2 linked regions of the Solanum lycopersicum genome follow. The protein of the gene in region 1 interacts with the protein of each later gene in a pairwise test. Links are inferred from orthologs where the notes say so. Each region holds a gene or a part of one and is shown on either strand. Other genes may lie near its edges.

Region 1 (6,703 bases):
ATAATTATTGATTTTATTTAATGATTGTTGTTGTCATGACAATATGATTTTGACAAATGTAAATAGTGACTACTTATAGTGAACACTAATTATAATAATTGATAGTATACGCTATCACTACGAATAATAATTATAATTATAGATAGTATTTCTCTATCGATAACTAATTATCTTAAAAAGCACAATTGAAAAATCTATTTTCCATCTCTGTAGTTGCTTGGTGAATAGTAAGGTCAAAAGAGAACGATATCAATATAGTCCAAGAAGAGTAGGGTTCATAAACTGCTATGAATAGCAAATTTAATTCAGAAGCTTCTATATTTGTGCCTAAATGAGTGATTATAAACAAAAAAAAGAATGAATAAAAAGGATTTTAAGTGACAAATGTAATTTGGGCAAGAATTCTCTTGATGAGTATGAGAAAGAGCCGGACATATGCATTGCATTTCTCACATAGGCAACAAATAAGAAGAAGCAAGGAAAGAAAAAAAAGAAGACACATAGAAGGCAAAATGGTTGGGACGGTAAAGTGCGTAAGGAATTTGTTTCAAGACACTTATTGATGTGTCAGACAAAACAAAACAATGTCAATGTAATAAAGTGGGTTCAACAAAGCTCCAATAAATACATAAAGAATGTATAAATTGTCAAGTGTTGTGGGATATGTTTAAAGAAGAAGAAAAGAGAACAATACCTCGAGTTACTTTTGATGAGCAGTAATTATTTTTTTTATTCGTGATTTCGTAATAAAAAGTTTGAGGTTGATTATTTAATCATCTTTTTGATTGTCATATTTTTATATTATTTAAGCATTCTCATCATAATATCATCTTGAATCGTATTATACAAATTTTGTGGTGATTTCAAAATACTTGATTTTTTTAAGCTCTTATTTTCTTAATACTTTATTAATCAGTAAAGATTAGATACTTCATGAGAATTGGTAAGACAAAGTCTTTCCTGTTTATGCTTATTCATACTGATATCTTTTTATTTTTATTAAAAAATAGCTATACATGAGTTTAGTTTCGATTATTGTTCTAGTAAAAATTTTAAAATAAATAAATATATATTATATGTTACTTGAGTTTAGTTTCGATTATAGTTCTTGTATCTTTTTAGGCGGTCCATCCCATAAGGCTAACGGGTTAACTATGTTGGATCTTCTTAGGAAATCAAGTCTATTGTAACGATTTAATGCCCTACGTGTCTTACTCTTAATTTTGATTATTTGACGGCTGGCATTTGGCCAGAAAATATATATTTTTCTTTAGATTTTGTGTTATATTATATTATTTTAATTGTATTTGAATCAGAATTTGAACATCAATATATAATTTATATTAGAAAAATAAATTTTGAAGCTTATAAAAATGAAATAAAGTTTTAAAATTTAAGTAATAATCAACATAAAATTAAGCGAGATGGAGAATAAAGTTAGCATGAGAGAATTTGACAAAATAATTTTGGTCCAGAGCTTTCAGAAATCAAAAGTCTCGAAAAAAGCCTTTTTAGCATAAAATGTCATACGTTGTGTGACATGTCGTGCTTGACATATTATTGTTGAGTGCGTATTACCATTTTTGTTTATTAAAAATATATTTTGTTAGTGAGCATGTTTGTACCATTTAAACACATACAAAACATGATTTTAAAGGAAGTTATTAGAGCTTGTAGATGCGAATTCTACCGAGTTTCTCTGTAGTATATCATTATTTTTTTGGCTTTTCATCTTTTTTTGTTGAATTTTGAGTTGTTATTCGTGACTTTGAGTAACTGGACTTTTTATCTAACATATTGATAGAATCACTATGTGTACTTTGGTTTCGTTCTTCTTCATTTAAGTTTGATAATTTCTGTTTGTTTGCAAATTGTTTGAGAATTTGTTGTCAGCAGTTCACACGTACCCTTTCAGTGTTGAGTTATTAATTTGGAGGATTTCTAATTTCTTGATTAGGGTCCATAAGACAACATCTTCAATTGCCAGTTAAGGCTCGAAATTATCATATGCTCGCTTATAAAAAAAATTTAATTATTATTTATTACGTATTTATTTTTATCGAATGAAATTTAAAAAAAAATTAATTAAACCCGCTTCTACCTATCATACTCGGCTTTGTCCTAAACGTATATGTAATTTTAAAAATTTACACATAACAACTACTCAAATAGTTTCATTTGTTCCCCACAAAAACAATTAGAAAAATTATTTATATTTTAAATTTTGTTCATAAAATATTAATTTTATGAACCATTCCACAATTTTATTTTATTTTTTGTTGTTTCTTTGATGAACAAATAAAGCAAGTTGTGATAAATTTGGGTATGCCGAGTTTCAAGTGTCCAATAAAACTGTGAAAGAATAATAATTTGAAAGAATAGCATCAGTTATCACTTAAAATACAACTTCTTTTATATATAAAAATAATACTCAATCAGTTCGTATTTAGTCGTACACTTTAGAAGTGATACTATTTAGTTGCTCATTTTAAAAGTGACACATATATTAAGGCACCAATTATTATCATAGATTTGTTATTATTTTATTCTTAACTTAAAAAATTATGACACATATATTAAGGCACTAATTATTATCATAAATTTGTTATTATTTTATTCTTAACTTAAAAAATTATGCAACTCTCGAAATATAATAAATATATTTTCTAATTTCCAAAAGCATGCATTACAATTTAGTAGTATGAAAAGTTTTCTAGAATTAAATAAAATCATATTAAGAAAAAATTATTATCCTTTCTTAATTTATTAAAATAGACAAGTAAATAAAAATAAATATAAAAAAAATATGAACAAATAAATAGGGACACATATAATATTATAAAGTAAAATAATTTACCTTTTATTGTTATCGTGGTGCGTAACCCAAAATTAATAAAAGCTTGATATCATATCATTGTTATTGTAATTTGCGATTCAAATTTAATGAAAGTTTTTGATATTATATACGAGCTGAATACTTAAATTAAAAATATAATACTCCAATTGAAAGAAATTATAGACATTTTTGACCTAGGGGAGATTCAAATTAAAATTAATATAGTGTGACAGATGGAGCCATTTCAAGCAAAACTTTGTCCTCCTTGTAAGGCTGAGCTTTTCTCAATTAAAGCTAAGCACTTCTAACCCCCTTTTCAACTCTCTCCCTCTTCTTGGGGCTACTCTGTTAGTCCACTCAAAACTTGCTCACCAATTTCTTCTTATAACTGTTGTTGTTGAGGTAATGTGTGAGTAGTGTAGCTTAGTAAGATTTGGTGTGGAGAATGGCCTATATGTGTACGGACAGTGGGAATCTAATGGCAATTGCTCAGCAAGTCATAAAGCAAAAGCAGCAGCAGGAGCAGCTCCAACAGCAAGAGCAACAGCAGCAGCAGCAACAACAATTCTTGGGTGTTAATCCTTTGTGTCTCAGCCCATGGACTTCCAATCACCAGACCTTAACTAATAGCCCCACTTTAGGATATGGACTTACCGGGTCGGGTTTTGCAGACCCATTTCAGGTCGCCGGAGGAACAGATAGCGCCGAGCCGGGATTTCAGTTCCCTAACTTGGAACATCATTCGACCGGGTTTAGGTTTGCTGATTTCGGCGGTGGACCGGGTGGTGAGTTTGACTCAGATGAGTGGATGGAGAGCTTGATAGGCGGCGGAGATTCTACCGGAAGCTCTAATCTTCAATCTGGTTGCGAAGCCTGGCAGACGAGTTCCGAATTCACTACCCTCTACGGAGATCCGTTCCCGAGTTGTCCGAATCGACTCAGTATCGGTTCTGCTCCTCCGCCTCCACCTTCTTCCGATCTCAATGGGGTCATTTTTTCGGAAACCCAGAAAAATCTAAGCCCACTACAACCACAGACATCTCCATGGGTCGCACCATCTTCATCTCCTCCTCCAATTGTTCAACCCGCGAGCAAAGAATCCAAGGTGGTATCAGTTGATGTGCAGCCATGTAGTTCCCCTGAAAGTTTTTCGTCAAAACCATTGTTGAAATCCTTGGTGGAATGTGCAAGACTCGCTGAATCAGAGCCTGAAAATGTAGTAAAATCATTGATTCGACTAAGGGAATCAGTTTCCCAACAAGGAGATCCAATGGAGCGAGTTGGGTTCTATTTCTTAGAAGCTCTTTACAATAGGCTTTCGTCGTGTCAAGCAGAGAGAACTCCGTCAATCTTTGGTACTGCGCCGGAGGAGCTCACTTTGTCATACAAAGCCTTTAATGATGCATGTCCCTACTCAAAGTTTGCTCACTTAACGGCTAATCAGGCGATTCTTGAAGCAACTGAAAAAGCAACGAGGATTCACATTGTAGATTTTGGAATTGTTCATGGTATCCAATGGGCAGCTTTTTTACAAGCTTTAGCAACTAGATCAGCTGGTAAACCAGTCAGTGTTAGAATCTCTGGCATTCCATCAGTGGTATTGGGTAACTCTCCGTCAGCTTCACTTTTAGCTACAGGGAATCGTCTTCGTGACTTCGCGAAGCTTCTGGATCTTAACTTCGAATTCGAACCAATATTGACTCCAGTTCAGGAACTTAACGGGTCTAGTTTTCGAGTTGATCCAGATGAAATCTTAGCTGTGAACTTCATGTTGCAGCTGTACAATTTACTGGACGAAACAAATGTTGGTGTAAAAACTGCACTGAGTTTAGCCAAATCATTGAATCCAAGCATTGTGACATTGGGTGAGTATGAGGTGAATTTGAATGATGTTGGATTCCTGCAGCGATTTAAGAACGCACTGAAATACTACTCAACTATTTTCGAGTCATTGGATCCGAGCTTGACCCGAGACTCCGCTGAGAGAGTACAAGTGGAAAGACTGATACTTGGCCGGAGAATTGCCGGAGCGGTGGGCCTAGACGATGGCGGAACCAGAAGAGAATGTATGGAAGATAAAGAACATTGGAAAGAATTAATGGAAGGGGCTGGTTTTAAACCAGTAACACTTAGCCATTATGCAATGAGTCAAGCAAAAATTCTTCTTTGGAACTATAATTATAGTTCATCATTTGGATTAATTGATTCTGCCCCTGGGTTTCTCTCCTTGGCTTGGAAAGATAATCCCCTTTTGACTGTTTCTTCATGGCACTAATTGTGTTCTACATCAGTTCTGTTAGGTACTTTCTTCTAAGTGCTTAAATTTAAATTTCATTGCTCTCTGTAGATTAAAAAGTTAGTATAGAAAGATGATATTTTTGAGCAAGTTTAACTTTGAATTTCAAGATTAAAGCCTTCTCTGTTTATATGAATAGTGTCTTCTCTCGGTTCTCATATTTAGTTTTCTAGGTTTGTGTCATTAGGAGGAGAAATCAACTGTAATTGTGCATAAATTTTGTGAATTATTGATGAATTATTGATAGCATGTTGTTGCTGCCTTAGTGAAAGCTTAATTGAGTAAACGATTCAATCATTATAAGAGGTTTTATTAGTCCAAAAGAAAGAAGGTCCTTTTCTCTCAGGTTCTGTAATGGAAGTTCCATTGACAAAGACTTTAAGCCAAAACCTGTGGACTTAGCTTAGCCTAGCTAGAGAAATAAAAACAGTTCTTTTTTTTCATGAGGAAATGGTGTTTTATTACTGACTTTTGCCATGTCCTTCATTCAGGAAGAGCCTTACACTCTAGTAAAGTCTATTCCTTTTTGGTAAGTTCTGTAGTAGAAATAATAGTACCAAACTTTGATTATATGGCAATGAATTAATGGGAGTCTCTTTCACTCTAAAATGAATTCAGAATAGTACCTTTCTTTCTTTCACTCACCTAATATCAGTTCCTGTCAGCAGTTGTTGATGATGAACAAGAGCCGTGCTCTTTTACAAAACTATAGAGGTGGTAGGGGGCCTAATTATTTGACTGAAACACTAAATTCATATACTGAAAAAAAATGTTATTTTGCTCTAATTTTTGGACCATCCGTAGTGCGCTTTGATCACTACTGCCTCTTTGAATTGCTGAGCAAGTCGTAGTACAAGTTGCATAATGGGCCATGAGTTTGTTACTAGTAGAAAAATGTGATACGCTAATGAAAGGCATATGTAGCTACTACAAAGAGTTATGGTCTAGTAGATTAATTAACTAATGAAATTGGAGAAAATGATTAAAATTTAGATTCAAATGCTAGCAAAAAGAAAAAAATATATACGGCGTTTCTTATCCATCCAAATTTTGATGGGACATAGTTTTTTTGATGTACTAATTATTGTTGGAGGTTGTACAACAAACTGCCTGTGTCACTAGATAATAGAGGTTAATATTTCAAAATTGCTTTTTAATGTATGATCAAGGAGGTACTACTACTTTCCTAGCGTGACTGATTAGTTTCATTTTTGAATTATTAGTAACCTTAAAAATGTACTTTACTTGTTTAATTGATCTTAAATACTCGCAGAATGAGTGAAATATGCCTCTAAATTTTCATCAAGTTAAAGTGTTTTCAACACTTCTCTGAGCTATTTATTACTCGAGAAGTCTGTCCACTATTGTTTGTTATTGTTTTATTTTTAGAATCAAACTTTAAAAACATTTGCTAACATTTTAAGATGTATTCATCATATTGATATACAAAAATTTGTAATTTATAGTGTTTTTCATATAGTTTTTAAATATTTAAATTTTTTTGTTTAAAATATTAAATAAATATAATCTAATTTAACTTTAAAAATTAGTTAACTTGACTTTTAAAAAAT
Region 2 (6,620 bases), on another chromosome or scaffold:
CCTTGGTAAGAAAGAAGGCTTGATGAATTGATGGAAGGAGATTAGGAGATCGGGTGTCACGAACCGACACGTAGTATTAGGGGATCGGGTGTCACGAACCGACACGTAGAATTAGGGGATCGGGTGTCACGAACCGACACGTAGTATTAGGGGATCGGGTGTCACGAACCGACACGTAGTATTACGGGATCGGGTGTCACGAACCGACACGTAGTATTAGGGGATCGGGTGTCACGAACCGACACGTAGATTTAAGGGATCGGGTGTCACGAACTGACACATAGATTTAGGGGATCGGGTGTCACGAACCGACACGTAGATTTAGGGGATCGGGTGTCACGAACCGACACGTAGATTTAGGGGATCGGGTGTCACGAACCAACACGTAGATTTAGGGGATCGGGTGTCACGAACCGACACGTAGATTTAGAGGATCGGGTGTCACGAATCGACACGTAGATTTAGGGGATCGGAGTGTCACGTACCGACACAAGAGGATTAATGAATATGAGGGAGCGGAGTGTCACGTACCGACACAAGAGAAATAAAGATAATGAATCTTGAAAGATGTTAATATACTCAATCGAATGAACATAATTCCCAAACGAGTATGGTATGGAGGCTTGAGTCCTCATGTGTGAACTTGACGGTAATTGTTAATGATATAGTATTTGTTGTTGCTACATGTTGAGTATCATAGTTGATTTTATGATATTACTTGGTATATATTGATTTCTATTTTGAGTTGGCCGATGATATCTACTCAGTACCCGTGTTTTGTACTGACCCCTACTTTTATGTTTTCTTCTTGTTTATTTGTGGAGTGCAGCAAACGTGCCATCGTCTTCAACTCAACAGTAATTCAAGTCAGTCTTACTACATCGGAAATTCAGGGTGAGCTAATGCTTCTAGCTTGGACTGGATCTTCTTCTTCAAGTCTTGATGCATTGAACTTCCGGCATGGACTAGCTTCTTATGTATTTTTAGCTTTTAGAATACTCTTAGTTTAGTCATTTGATCGTAGATGTTCTTGTGATGATGACTTCCAGATTTTGGGGAATAATAGATGTTGAATTTTAGAAGTTAATGAATTGGTCTTTATTTAATGAGTTTAAGTCTTCCGCATTACTTTCTGTTGATATTATATTGAAATGTTAAGGTTAGATTGGTTGGTTCGCTCACATAGGAGGGTAAGTGTGGGTGCCAGTCGCAACCCGGTTTGAGTCGTGACATAAAATCAAAATAATAAAATATTTAAAAAAGATAAAATAACGTCTTACCATTTTACCCAAATCCTCACTAAATTTTCTGGCCAATTTTTTCCCCCTATGAATTAATTTATATATTAATTTTCAATAGAAATGGCTGTCGAGAATATCTGATTTTTGTTTGATAAAGTTCTCTTCAATTTACAGACTAGCTTTCAATAATAATGGCTGTCGAGTGATAACACTAAACAAATCATATTTTCAACGGTTTTTTGGTCATAAAACTTTTGACCTTTGAAGTTGTCTAGATATTGGGCGGTTTCATTTGTAATTATAAATTAATTATTTCGTCGTTTTAATACATACAAATTCATTTTTTTAAAGTTTATTTTTTAAAAAAATCATTCATCTTTATTAATAATTAATTCTAAAATATTAATTTTACACTAATTTTATTCTAAATGAAACGATTTATGTATCCACATACATAAAAAAAAAACATATTTTACATATCAAATTATGCCACTATTTCCTCCGTCCACTTTTTTTATCATGTTATGTTTTTCAAAAGTCAATTTGATTGATTTTCAAAGTAAATTCGATTACATTAATTTGATTTTTTTAAAAAAAAATTCAAAAATTATATGTAAAACATCATAAATTGTAATTTTTTGCATATCAATATGATTAAAAAATACATCTTAAAATATTAATCAAATTCTAAAACTAGAAATCATGACAAATAAAGGTGGACCGAGGATATTATAATATGAATAAAAACAAAGTAAATATAACCAATTTCAACTCCCGATGTACCAGTGATTAACGAGGTAACATTCTGAATTAGTACTAACAATATGTTTAATTATAGCAATACAAATCCCTATAAATGCAAAGTTAGTTATGATTGTATGAGTATAATAATTTATACTACATCACGTTATTAGAATCCCTTTTCAATAAAAAAAATAAAATAAAAAGTAGGAATTCAATCCCAGGCCAGATGTTAATTAACTCCTATATTTATTTATTAATAATAAATTATATCACCTCACGTTATACGAGTCCCTCTTTAATTTTCTTTAATAAAGCAAAAAAAAAAAAAAATACACCGTAATTAACTATATACACATCCACATCTACACCAGTGGAACTTTAATTTTCTTTTGCCAAATTAAAGTAGAGCTGCATGTTAGTATTTTACAACCTTTTTTCCCTACCTACTTATAAATCTACTACCTCCTCCATTATTCCGGTTTATATGACTCATTTTCTTTTTAGTCAGTTTAAAAAAGAATAATATATTTCTATATTAAATATTTCATTCGTCTCAATTTATATGAGTTAATTTGTCTTGACATGAAATTTAAGAAAGAAAAAAGAACTTCTGAAACTTATGATCTAAAATAAGTTATAATACTTGTATGGTAGAAATTATTTCATAATGGTAAAATATATAAATTAAAGTTCTCACCCGGTGTTTGATAGTCATATCGCATCGGGAAGTCCCACATTAGTAAACACTCTTTAACAAAGACGACTTTATATTCAAGGGCCAAGGGGACTCAAGTGCGAGACTTCTTGATTAAGGATGAAGGAGTACTTATCACTCCACTACAATTCTTGTTGGAAATTGTTACTGACCAAAAAAATGTGTCATTATTTTTTGGATTAATTAAAAAAGAAAGTAAGTCGGGTCACAATTTAACTTTAAAATGCTCATTTTATCTTAATGAAATGATTTATTATCACACAAATATCTAACACTTATATCATCAGTTTCAAAAGTCTTATTTTTTTTAAACTTCATGTCAAATTAAACTAACTCATATAAAATGAAACGGTTGGATTAATATGTATAATACACATTTTACTCAACATAGACTTTATCTTTATTTAATTGAAGGGTTTGTCCACTTTATTTTTTTTTTCTTCTAAAAGGTGCATGTTCTCTTCTTCAAATTAAAACCAAACCTATTCTATTTGCATATCGCATTTGTTCTTGAATCTCTTTAGCATAGTATTCCATCAAGAAAGAAATAACATCAAAGAAATTTTTTTTAAAAAAAGAAAAAAAAGAAAAGAGAGAGAATGTTCCATGCCAAGAAACCTTCTACTATGAATTCTCATGATAGACCTATGTGTGTTCAAGGTGACTCTGGTCTCGTCCTTACCACTGATCCAAAACCTCGTCTTCGTTGGACAGTTGAGCTTCATGAACGCTTCGTTGATGCTGTTACTCAGTTAGGTGGACCTGATAGTACGTTTTCTATACCTAACCCTATATGTAAACTCATCATCAGAGGTTGATTCAGAATTTAAACTTATATGTTTTATTTTTATTTTTTGTTGTGTAGAGGCAACACCTAAAACTATTATGAGAGTTATGGGTGTTAAGGGTTTAACCCTTTACCATCTCAAGAGTCATCTTCAGGTTTAATTTTGATCTTCGCGATTAATTTTATTGAAGATCTACCTCTGAATGTTTTTAGCTTGATCATTTCATAACCTAATTGTTTTTTTTTGTTTTTATGAGTAGAAATTTAGACTGGGAAAACAACCACACAAAGAATTTAACGATCACTCAGTGAAGGATGGCGATAGAGGTATTATTGATTCGTGTTCTTAAATGAATTTTTTGTTTTGTATAAGTGTATATTAATATGTTTAATTAACTTGCAGCTACAAGTTTAGAACTACAAAGAAATTCAGCATCTTCATCTGGAATGATCGGACGTAATATGAATGAGTATGTTGTTATTTTTTTTCTTGTTAATTTCACTTTAAACTTTAGTATATAAATTAAATTTCATCTTGTTTATAGCTTCTTTTAGTTTGCTTTCACTTTAATAATTATTAGGAATTGTTTCTTTGAAGGGTGTTTACACTACTAGTCCCTTTCTTTTCTTTTCTTGTTTCAAATTCTTTTTCAAGTGTATGAGAGGGTGTGATGTGAATCAAACTTTAATATAAATTAAATCTTCTAGTATGAAAGGTAGAAATTTTAACAATATTGACATCTTCTTTTTATTTTATTCTTCTTCTAATAATTGCTTAATTCTATTAGATTGGGTGGTTTAATTAGTGGTGATGTGAAGAGTGTTTGTTTAACACATTTTAAAAGAAAAATTTATAGAAAATATATAGGTTAAAAATTATTTTAATGAAAATTTTGATTTTTTCGCTGAATTGTGTGACAATACAAGTTATTGTCATCAACACTCGTAAAGTAATTATATGGCATACATGAAATGGTGTAAGTATTAACTTTCACATATCTGATGGAATTAGGATGCAAATGGAGGTGCAAAGAAGGCTGCATGAACAATTGGAGGTAATTATATATTTCAATCTCTCTATTCTTCTTTTATTTTTCATCAAAGTGATATAATTTTCTAGTATTACCGAAACTAGATGCGGATCTTGAATTTTAAAGTTAATTAATAGGTTCAACCATTACTCTCTTCATCTTAATTTATGTAACATCGTTTGATTTTGACACTTTTTTTTTAAACGTTTGAAATTTATTGCCTAAAACAAACCTTGCATATTTTTATGACTTTAAATCATTCCATCAAAGATAAAAGAAGAATTTTAAAGTTCAATTATTCCTAAGTACGAAAAGGTGACATTCTTTTTGAAACAAACTAAAAAAGTAAAAAGTACCACATAAATTGAGACAGACAGAGTATAACATCATTATAACTTAGGAATTTAATTATGTGTTCATGCATGGTGTAGGTACAAAGACACCTTCAATTGAGGATTGAAGCACAAGGAAAATACATGCAAACCATATTAGAAAAAGCTTGTCAAACATTAGGTGGAGAAGAAAATATGTCATTACCAACAAGAACCTTTAAAGGTATTGGAAATCATCAAGGAGGATTAATACCAGACATTTCAGCTGCCTTTAAAGAATTTGGAACCCCTCCTCTAACTTTCTCATCATTCCAAGACTTGAACATATGTGGAGAACACATCGATCTTCATGCTCAGAGTAGCATGGGTGAACGATCCTCATCCTTCGATGGATTCATGAACTTGAGCAATACTTCAACCGATCATAACTTGTCTCTTGGAAAGAAAAGGGCTAGCCCTTACAATACTAGCAATGGAAAGAGTCCATTTATGTGGTCAGATGATTTTCGTCTACATGAGTTAGGTATGTATTGAAATTTAAGTTGTCAGAGAGAACATACTATATACATGATCATTTACTTATTGAAATTCTGTGATTATGAGATTTCAGTTGTTAGAGAGAACAATATATATATATATATATATATATGATCATTTACTTAGTGAAATTGAGTGATTATGATATTTCAGCTGTTGGAGAGAACATACTATATATGATTGATCATTTACTTATTGAAATTGAGCGATTATGAGATTTAAGCTGTTAGAGAGAACGTCCTATATATGATGATCATTTACTTGGTGACATTGTGTGATTATGAGATTTCAGCTGTTGGAGAGAACATACTATATATGATTGATCATTTACTTATTGAAATTGAGCGATTATGAGATTTAAGCTGTTAGAGAGAACAGACTATATATATGATGATCATTTTACTTATTTAGGTGGAGGTGGTTCGTGTTTAGGTTCTAATAATGAAGACGATCATCAAATTATTCAGATGGAGAGGAGTTGCAATCCTGAGATTGATTCGGTGTCTGATATGTACGAGTCTAAGCCATTACTACAAGATGACAAGAAGTTTGACACGAAACCAGAGAGGCCTTCCCCAAGAAGAGCTGCCCAGGTTTCGAGTTTGAGTGCTCAAGGTGGACGAAATTCTGTTTTCGGGTAAAAACTTAGACAATCTTTTACATTGGAACTTTTTTTTCTAATTTATCGAGTTTATAATATATTGTACGATAGTATTACTATTACTATTACTCTTATTATTATACTTAGGAGAAACAATAATTGTTGGTCACCATGCATATCAATGAATTCACTTTACTATAACGTATCACGTGACATGGGCATACCTTATTTTAATTACCTAATTATTACAATATTGAAGGGCACCATCATTTTTTAAAACAATCTACATATATATGTAATTTAATTTGTTGGATATCATATCATATATAGCGGGCACGTGTTGATCATTTCTCATTTTTGTATTTTTGCACATCTTATGTATACGGTTGATTCAAGATTTGAAATTACGAATATAATAGTGTAAATTTTGATATATATTGTTAATTTTATAAATAAATATACATGGATATATTTGTATGTTATCATTTTTATGATTTTTTTTTTAATCAGGTCTAAAAAGAATAATATTTTTTTATTTCGAATGAAATGATTTTTGGCCGTGAAAATATCTATTACTTATTTTAGACTATATGTATAAATCAAACTAAGTCATATAAAATAAAACGTAGAAA

The links. The genes of interacting proteins can lie anywhere in the genome.
Region 2: the proteins of SCARECROW-LIKE protein 7 (region 1) and myb family transcription factor IPN2 interact in binary tests that used the Arabidopsis thaliana proteins (3 or more experiments, as listed by UniProt). The link is inferred for Solanum lycopersicum from reciprocal best matches to the Arabidopsis thaliana genes AT5G66770 and APL.

The regions. Positions count from the first base shown.
Region 1 is NC_090801.1:64,559,958-64,566,660, reverse strand, and holds SCARECROW-LIKE protein 7, read left to right. Parts: upstream 1-2,974; 5' UTR 2,975-3,281; coding exon 3,282-5,111; 3' UTR 5,112-5,268; downstream 5,269-6,703. UniProt on the Arabidopsis thaliana protein: Probable transcription factor involved in plant development.
Region 2 is NC_090811.1:7,166,180-7,172,799, forward strand, and holds myb family transcription factor IPN2, read left to right. Parts: upstream 1-3,096; 5' UTR 3,097-3,299; coding exon 3,300-3,468; intron 3,469-3,565; coding exon 3,566-3,642; intron 3,643-3,747; coding exon 3,748-3,814; intron 3,815-3,890; coding exon 3,891-3,957; intron 3,958-4,499; coding exon 4,500-4,542; intron 4,543-4,949; coding exon 4,950-5,373; intron 5,374-5,798; coding exon 5,799-6,028; 3' UTR 6,029-6,189; downstream 6,190-6,620. UniProt on the Arabidopsis thaliana protein: Transcription factor required for phloem identity. Has a dual role both in promoting phloem differentiation and in repressing xylem differentiation during vascular development. Regulates the expression of the transcription factor NAC045 (AC A4VCM0).